2 linked regions of the Nothobranchius furzeri genome follow. The protein of the gene in region 2 interacts with the protein of the main gene of each other region in a pairwise test. Links are inferred from orthologs where the notes say so. Each region holds a gene or a part of one and is shown on either strand. Other genes may lie near its edges.

Region 1 (4,137 bases), on a different chromosome or scaffold from region 2:
GATAACAGAAAGACACGGAGCTAAGGCAACAGAGACACTTCATGATGAGAGCGTGTTTTCCTCCCTGAGATTCCTCAACATGCTTCCCCATCTATTGTCTTCCCCCTGGAGCTGGAGCTACTCCTGCTCGCCATCGCCACCTACTGGACAGCTCGCAGCCTGTTTGTTTAGAGAAATTTCCTAAACAAAGAGTAATTAAGCTCCTCTGTTAAATGACTGTGAAGTTGGGATTGAGGAAAACACAGGTCAGACGAAACTAAATCAAAGCCTCATTTTGAAGCTAAAATTAGAAACAACTAAAAAGAAGATGTTGGATGTCAGTAAGTATAGATGTATTTTTTTGTTTTGTTTATATATATATATATATATATATAAAATTACTTAAAAATGTGAAATGGTCAGACTGAGATGACATGGCTGGACCGATGAGGTAATGTCTGATAAAAGTGTCTGCCCACTACAGAAGGATGGGTTTACCAGAACCACGCTGATGTCATCCTTACTCTGGTACAACCTGTGCATTCAGAAAGCTCGGAGATCAACACAACACAACTCAGGACCGTTACGCCTGCCGAAAATGGATTAGCTTACAAGACAGAGCTCTGGCTTGCTGTAGGCATTTTAATGTTCACACAGAAACAAACATTTTAATAAGAATAATTGTTCAAGATTTAAACTAAAGATTAAGATAATGTCAACAAAAGCCTTAAATTAGAGACAATCTGCTCATTTTACTTGGCGTTTTACCTCCTGGCAAGACCACCTGAGAGACAAAGGAAAGTAGCGGCAGTAATTTACCTCTGTCAGCTGCTGTTCAACAACGCCCCTGTACTCCAGAGTGACTGGCTGCTCTTTGGCGCCCTCTGCTGCCAACATCTGGCTTGCAGAACCAAGCACATAGCTGGAAAAGAGACACAGAACAGTTACAGCTCCTAGTAGGCTCGTAATGTGTAGTTTATTCATTTTCTCTTCGTTTACTTTCTGTTTCATTTAGTTTTTGTTTGTGTTGTTTAAAGTTTGTTCTTATTTTATGCATCTGAAGCATCTGGATGTGATGAACCACTGCTGGTTTAAAGGAAGCCTAACCTCCAGACCACACTGTGCTTTTAGCCGTCCTAGACAGACCTGTTACCGTGCACAGACTCGTGACAAATAACGGTGAACTTGAAGGTGATTTGCAAGTCTGTGGCCGTCCAGTGTGACAGGTGTTCCGTCAGAGCAGCATACATGTCAGAGGAGCATGCATGCAGTTTATGCGCGCATTCATTTAAACCTCCGCCACATTCTGAGGAGCCACCAGTTCAGCATACAGACGGCTAAGTACAAGGAAATCGTTTGTTGATTGTGTTCATAATGTTTTACCATCCACATAGATGAACTGATGAATGTGTATCACTATTTATTTATTTATTTTACCACCTTCTAATTCTATAAAATTTTGAGAAAATAAAGCTTTACAAAGTCTTCAGTTGACGAGTCAGGGTGCCATACACAGTTGTTTAAGTGTATGATGTTCTGACTGGCCCATCATACAGCTTAAAAAGTGAACGATGATCTGACAGCGTACGCGTGCTATCAGACAGGCATAAGCTGTAACACTCATGTGTCAATCTAACAATGTCCGGTGATTGGACAGAACACCGGCTCAGCGACAGCTTATTGGGCAACCTCAGAACAAAAGTCGGTCTTCAAGCATTGCGTGAAATCCTGACTCCCGCCTGCAATCGACCGATGAAAAAACACTCAGGAACCGACACGAGCAACTAGCGACGAGAGTACAATGCAAGAGTAGAATTAGCAACACTAGCAACAGGAGAAGCTACACGCAGGAACATGTGGACAACTCCTTTTTAGAGTTTGGAGTCTAATAAAAGACGTGTTAATGGTGGCGCTTTTTTCTCTTTTCAGAATTGTTGTTTGGTTAGATGTCGGCTTTTAGTGACGTATGCTTTTCGGGGGTTTGCTTGTGACGTTAGCGCATCCTGCTAGAGTGAGTGTGCCACCTTCATGGAGTCCCCACAGCGTAACATGAGTGGTCCTGTGTGACAACAAAAAATAACTTGGACAGTAGGTACGCCCGTCTATGTCCAGTCCACGGGTCCCAAACTGCCAAAATATGAATAGCAGTCAGTGGACCTGTGAAAGTTAGTTTCTGATATCCGTTAGAAACGTACCATTAATTTCGCATTAGGGTTGGGCGATTTGTATAATTTTTCCCACCGCCAATCGTCAGTCCAAAAAAAAAAGACGATGGAAGATTTATTCGCGCATGTGACGTCGTGACGCACGAACTAATTTGCGAACGCAGAAGAAGCCCAAAACATTGATTCTTTTACACAAACGTGTGTTTGCAGGAAGAGAAATTCTTATTTAATTTTGTATTTGTAGTTTGGTAGAGTGACGTATAAACGGCTCGTATTAAACATGACTAAAATGTTAAAAAGAAGCCTCGCCTTCGTTTCCCTGTGGTGCCCACTGTTGTGGTTTTTACTGAAGCAAAATGTTTCTTTCTGAACAAAAACTTCTGGGGTTATTTCTTTTATAAGTAGGGGATGGGATGACTCGCTGCTGCGTTTGGACGCACTCTGGGGAGGCAGCGTTTGCTCGCTGCCAGAGGTCACATGATCCATTTATCCTTGTCACTTTCATTTTTAAATGATGAATAATCATTCTTTAAATTTCCATTCATTTTAATTAATATTTAGTCCAACCAAGCTGGTCAGAATGCCCCTGCAGCATGAACAATGCAATTAAACAATTTCACTTAAATTAGGAACATTTAATAATAATAATAATAATGCATTGAACTTATATAGCGCTTTTCAAGACACCCAAAGACACTCTCACATTCACACACTGCTAGTGATGGTAAGCTACTTGTAGCCACAGCCGCCCTGGGGAGGTCTGACAGAGGCGAGGCTGCCATTTGGCGCCGTCGGCCCCTCTGACCACCACTAACACAGGCAAGTTGGGTGAAGTGTCTTGCCCAAGGACACAGCAGCAGGATACCCCTGGCAGGAGCTGGAATCGAGCCCATGACCCTCCGATCATGAGGCAACCCGCTCTACCACCTGAGCTACTGCAGCGGCTTGAACGCACGTTCCTCCTGCGCCGCGTGAACCTGAACTGGTCACCTGCAGCTTGTGTGTCATCAAATGTCTCTATGGAGTTTGCTGAGGAGGTTATGAGCTTCTAGACGTTTGCCTCAGACAGACTCGTGGCTGTTTAAATAATGTTCTGGATGGATCCGTGCTCTGCTGACGCACTCAAAGCAAGTGCTGAATAACACGACGAGCGCTACTTCAGCCAAAGTTTTAAATCAGGAAACGTTTCTCCAAATGGAATAACCAGAAGTCTTCCAGACTCAGACGCTCTCCAAACCCCTCCTCAGCGAGCCGCTTGTGCGTGCACTGTCAGCAGCCAGATGGGGAAGGGATCAGATGCGCTGATGGAGATCTTTTCTTGATTGTTACCTCTGCGATGTTCTCTGTGCGTAACGTGTAAAATATTTGTCAATAACAAACAAACAAATAAATAAACACATCGCTTCCTGTAAAAAAAAAACAACCGTAACGGCTCAGCCCGTCGCAGACGGTCGATTCATTCGTCCCATTGCCCAACCTTATTTCACATACGGTGTCTGAATTTTAAAAACATGTTTAGATGCCAAGAAAGCTCTTTCTTTTTTTGACAGGCGGGCAAAAGTTACTTTAGGACGTGTAGTGGACTCCAACTGCTCGTCTCACCAAATGTAGGTCATCAGACCAGACAAGGAGATGAAAATGTTTGAGTTTAGCGAGCTTCGCATTCTTCAGTCAGGATGAAAGAAGGTGGAGAAAACCACTCTGAATCTGGTCATGCGGTAAGTAGCGGTTATGCTAGGGGAAGAGAGATTCTAACAGCATTTTTGGTTCTTTTTAAAACACAGAAAAGTTTTTTTTTGTTTGTTTTTACCTTGCTGACAGTTTCGTTTGCGGACTTTTCTGTGTTTTAAAAAGAACCAAAAATGCAGTTAGAAACCAGACACAGCAAGAACATCCCAAAGACGTGAGAAGGGATTCTGCTGTGACATCATATATGCAACGTCTGTTTTGTAGTCATTTAATTAGGAAGCAAATAAATCTCAAATTACGCAAC
Region 2 (4,829 bases):
CTTTGGACATTTAAGATCTTTGGAAACTGTATTTAAGGATTATTTGTCATTTTTAAGGATTTTTAAGGCCTTAAATTTGGAAATGCAAATTTAAGACTTTTTAACGACCCGCAGATACCCTGTTTTAAGCCAGCGTATCATGCAGCCGTCTTTCTCCACCATCTGAAACGCCCGGTAGTCACAGATTAAAAATGGCTGTCCCACTGACTTCACTGTCCAACTTGAGACATGTCCACACTGAAAAGATTAGAGCTCTCCTGAGACGACATGTTAGCTCTGAATTAGCCTTCTAGTTAAACAGAAACACGTTACGGGGTCTGCCGTAAATTGTGTGTCGTTACCGAGTTGTTTTCATCCACCTAACAATGAATAATGTAGTGGAACTTGTTAAAATTAAAACCAAACCTCTGTTATGTTTGAAAAACTATATTCCAGGATGAATTTAAAGGGTAGCGTTTGATACACTAGCTTTTACGTTTCCATTAAATAATCAGTGTTATCTCCACATCTCATTACCCTGAGGGGTGATGTGTGTGCCGCTGCTCTGCGTGGTCAGGTGATTCTCCAGCTCTTCTATCTGCTGCCGGTACTGCTGCAGCTGCACCTCAAACTGGTCAACCAAGCCACGGAAATAACTAAACACAAGATCACAACAGCCGATTGTAGGTCACTGATATTTGCATTTGATTTGCCTCGACGCTGCTGCTCGATGACTTACTCTGACGGAGCAGTGTTTTCATGCTGAAGGCCAGGAGGTGTCTTCTGGGTGCGCAGAGCTATGTCTGCATTTTTCAGCTCCTTATAAAAGAATTTGAAGAACGTTAAGTTTTGTCGGAAGAGTAATTTATGTATAAAAGGTACAAGGAAGAGCTGCAACCTTTCGAAATTGGAACATTTGAGAGAATGTGTCATTTGAGTTATTTTATGTTTGATACCTGAGCTGTCTCCAACTTGAGTTTGTCTATAGCCAGAGCCTGGCGCTGCAGTCCGCTGGCACAGACAGAAAGCAGCTGTTTGAGGCTTTTGATGTCATCCTGAACCTTAGAAATGGACTTTGAGGACATCCTACTGATGTCTTCCTGAACCTGCTTTTGCTCTTTTACAAATTTTCTGCAAATAAGGGAGAAAGATGCAGAAAGGAACTCTCTTTCAGGTGATAAAAAGAAAAACTCAGCATGTACACAGTGCAGTAACAAAATGTAATACTTACTGAAAATTGTCTACATCTTGACAAATACATGTGGGCAGATTCTCATCTTTTAGAGCTTTGCTGTCCCTGAGGAGGAGAATGAGACACGTTTCTTCACGCCATCATACAGGAGACAGATCATTACTGATGAGGTAAATGACCACAAGACAGGAAACCAACGTTGTCTTGGACATTTTTAGAATTCAAACGTTAGTTTTACTATTTCAAAGGCCTCACGAATAAAGCCACATACTGAGCATTGGTTCCAGATAATGCATCGCTCTTGTTCTCGGAGAGGGTGCTGAAGTCAACCCCACCCAGGCCAATGCTTGGAGAAGGAGCAGCTGGTACTGCTGTGGAGGTGGCCAGCAAAGAACCCAAGGCTCCTCCTCCAAGAGTAGTCTGGCCCAGCCCTGAAACACAAAGTAGAAAAAGAGGTTTGAACAAATCTTCGGATCTTTCAGAGATTTTGGATTTGCTAAATTGATTGTTATATATAGATTGTACACGTGCTGCACCGTGACAGTGTAAGTTAACTTATTTTCATTTTAACCTGAGGCTCCAGTGCTGGAGAAAAGTCCAGTGCCCAGTGATGGCACTGTTGAGGCTGCTGAGGCGGTTGTGATGCCACCGAGACCAAGGCTGAAGCCAGTGGCTGAGGGCTGCTGTGGTGCTGTGGATGTCAGGACGGAGCCAAATGATAAACCTGCTCCCACTGTCGAGGAACTGGTGCTGGTGGTGAGGGAAAAGGGTGTCGCTGAGGCAGTGGGCTTGTTGAAGGCTAAACTAAAGCCAGTGGTAGCAGCTGTTGTAGCTGGAATGCCTGAAAGAAAGTGTGTGTGAAATTAAACGTAGAAACTTTCCCACTTACTCCAAAACACACTCTGAAAGCTAGCATACCTATTGCGAGGCCTGTGGTGGGCGCAGAAGCACCTGTAAGATAAGATCCCAACAGAAAAGTTAAGACACACAGAACGACTTAAGCTTTAAACAAATGTGTTAATGCATCATTACTTGAAGCTGGCGTATTGAAAGAGAATCCTCCAGCAGGTTTCTGGCCAAAGATGCTGCCTCCCAGTCCGAGAGAAGCAGTGGTGGAGGTGGCAGTGGTTGGAGCAGGGGCTGCAGCTGCTGTTCCCAGAACAGTCCCAAAGGAAAAGCCGCTCGTATTGGCTGCAGGGGCACTTAAGACAGAAAGGATGATCATTTCACACTTTTTCAATAACAAAGCTGCACTTAAAAAATGTATAATCCGTCCATTTGAATTACGTTAAACCACAGTACTTCATAAATGTGTTTACACAAACAAATAATGCCAAACTGCTGTAAGCAACCTGGGCAAAATGGAAAAAGTAGATATCCTGACATTCCAGCACATCACCCAAAAACGTATTAAACCGGAGGTTTTATTGAAATTAAACTTTATGATTCTTAAGTAACAATAAGTGTTTCACGTGCGAATCACAAACTTATTGAAACGCGTTCTTTATTAAGACAGTGGAAGCAATGTGGGGATACTGGAATTAGTTTAACATTTCAATAACCCAATTATGTTATTAAATAATGCAGTGTAACGTTTGCGTGAAGGAACAAACCCCTAAAAGGCAGTGCATTTAAACATTACAAGCAACCACCTCTGTGAGCTATGTTGAAAAACAAGGATTGTAAAAAATGGCACACGATTAAAGTTATGCTATGCTAACTTTAGCCAGAACGGCTAACTAAAAATACCTGGTAACGGCTCCAAATGAAAATCCTCCACCCGTGTTGGTAGCTCCAAGCGTTCCCGATCCAAAGTTAAAGCCAGACATTTTCTCCTAACAGCTACACAAGCACTACCAAACAATTTGAACTTCAAATACTAATGAAATTCATTTGCAAGCTTAGCACACCATCACGTCAGTTAGCTTTTCATGGCCGCGTGAGGGCCAAGATCCGCGCTCTAGCATTTGTTTAAAACATAACTGATCAAAAATGTTTTATATTCCCAATAAGTGAGATCACACTGCAGCCTTGTGGCGATTTACAATCTATTAAATAAGCCTGGTATGTTAAAAAAAATTCTCAAAACTACTTTTCGCATGGCTCTTCTTTTCCTATTACCCGCCTGGTATTTTTGTGCTAGTGCATCTTGGGTAATAATTTATCTAAACTACATTTCCCAGATTTTACACAGCTCCTGTGACGTTAACGCATGCGCACACTTCTAATTTGGACTAAAAAGTCGTTCATAAAGTACAAACTAAATCCGGATGTGCTTTCAAAATAAAACCCCTTGCTTAAACAAAATTTACTTAAAATTACGTGACTTTAAAGGGCGTATTTTAAACAACATTTCAAGATTCGAATTCGATCATTTAAAAAAATTTTAATTAGAAAATAGAATCACATCATTTATTGTCATTCCGTGTGGTAATTTAGGTGTGAAATCTCAGCACGTCACAACACAGTGCCAGTTAAAAGTTTAATCAACTCAACATATGTGTGTATATCATAATATTGATGTCGATTGTGTATATTTACTAAAAAAAACTATATGTCACGAAAGGCGGTTTTAACCATGGGTTTAACCGAAGCCCTGGTGTTTTAAACACAAAATGCGCTTTATTTTGAAAACACTTCACGTGCAGCGTTGCCGTGATAGTAATTAACTTCACGCTAACAAAAGAGTGAAATAATTGACAATAAACTCATAACGTATAACAGCGAAAAGTCAAGGCGACACCTCTGCAGTCTTAACCATTTTTAAATCAATGATACACTTGTCATCTTAGCGCGTCGTGTGAGCCCTTTGCGTCGCTGACAGGTCTCGATTCGGAGAAATGGAACACATCCGAACGCCGAAGGTAGCTAACATTTTTTTTTGCTAATTTTTGCAAATGGATGGGATGAATAAGCTTATTGGGCCTTGTCTTTTTGGTATGTTTTCTGTGATTCAGTGTTGCTATGTAATGTTAGCCAGATGTGTTGGCTAGCAGGTGTCGCTAGAATCAGACGTGACGAGCATCTGTTTGCTAGTTTTTTCCCCTCGCTCAACAGACAGCACGGCTTTCACTCAATAACCCTACAACTTTCACACCCAGTTATTGAACTAGTTTAAGCATTTTAGTGATTAATAGAAAACTCGGCTGCATCTGGAGTTATAGTAACACATGATAGGCCTATTTAACAGAGATGGTAAAATCAGGGTGATCTGCACTATGAAAATACTCCTCAGATCAAAAATAGGATCATCTGCTTATTTATTTTAACATTTCAAGTATCAGATGAACTTTTATGGGAAATACGTGACTTTTAAGTTCATAAAAACCCATAAAAAGGTTAAGTTATGTAGGTGCTGCAGCACAGGTTTGACTATGACAGACCTACCCAACTGAAAACACAGGATTTGTGACGGTTTATGAGGTTTTGATCATACATTAAATAATAAGATAAGCATCCAAAGATCCAAAATGACTTTTCAGTTTGAGGTTTAGATGAATTTTTGCATTTTCCAGTCAAACACTGGTGAATAATTTCTTCTGTGTGTCCAAAAAGGTGTGGGTCTTGTAACATGTTTCACCATGCCAAGCAACCTGATGCATACTCTGTGTTTTATTCCTTTTGGTTAAAATTGGGACACGAATATTTGACAATAACT

Evidence for each region. The genes of interacting proteins can lie anywhere in the genome.
Region 1: the proteins of nup58 (region 2) and mis18a interact in binary tests that used the Homo sapiens proteins (3 or more experiments, as listed by UniProt). The link is inferred for Nothobranchius furzeri from reciprocal best matches to the Homo sapiens genes NUP58 and MIS18A.

What each region holds. Positions count from the first base shown.
Region 1 is NC_091750.1:63,493,569-63,497,705, reverse strand, and holds part of mis18a (protein Mis18-alpha), read right to left. Parts: intron 902-4,137; coding exon 799-901; intron 1-798. UniProt on the Homo sapiens protein: Required for recruitment of CENPA to centromeres and normal chromosome segregation during mitosis.
Region 2 is NC_091747.1:56,986,330-56,991,158, reverse strand, and holds the start of nup58 (nucleoporin p58/p45), read right to left. Parts: upstream 3,220-4,829; 5' UTR 3,001-3,219; coding exon 2,921-3,000; intron 2,374-2,920; coding exon 2,204-2,373; intron 2,123-2,203; coding exon 2,090-2,122; intron 2,013-2,089; coding exon 1,743-2,012; intron 1,603-1,742; coding exon 1,443-1,602; intron 1,277-1,442; coding exon 1,211-1,276; intron 1,111-1,210; coding exon 936-1,110; intron 799-935; coding exon 719-798; intron 636-718; coding exon 517-635; intron 1-516. Other genes in the region: mtmr6 (myotubularin-related protein 6), read left to right, coding at 4,012-4,035. UniProt on the Homo sapiens protein: Component of the nuclear pore complex, a complex required for the trafficking across the nuclear membrane.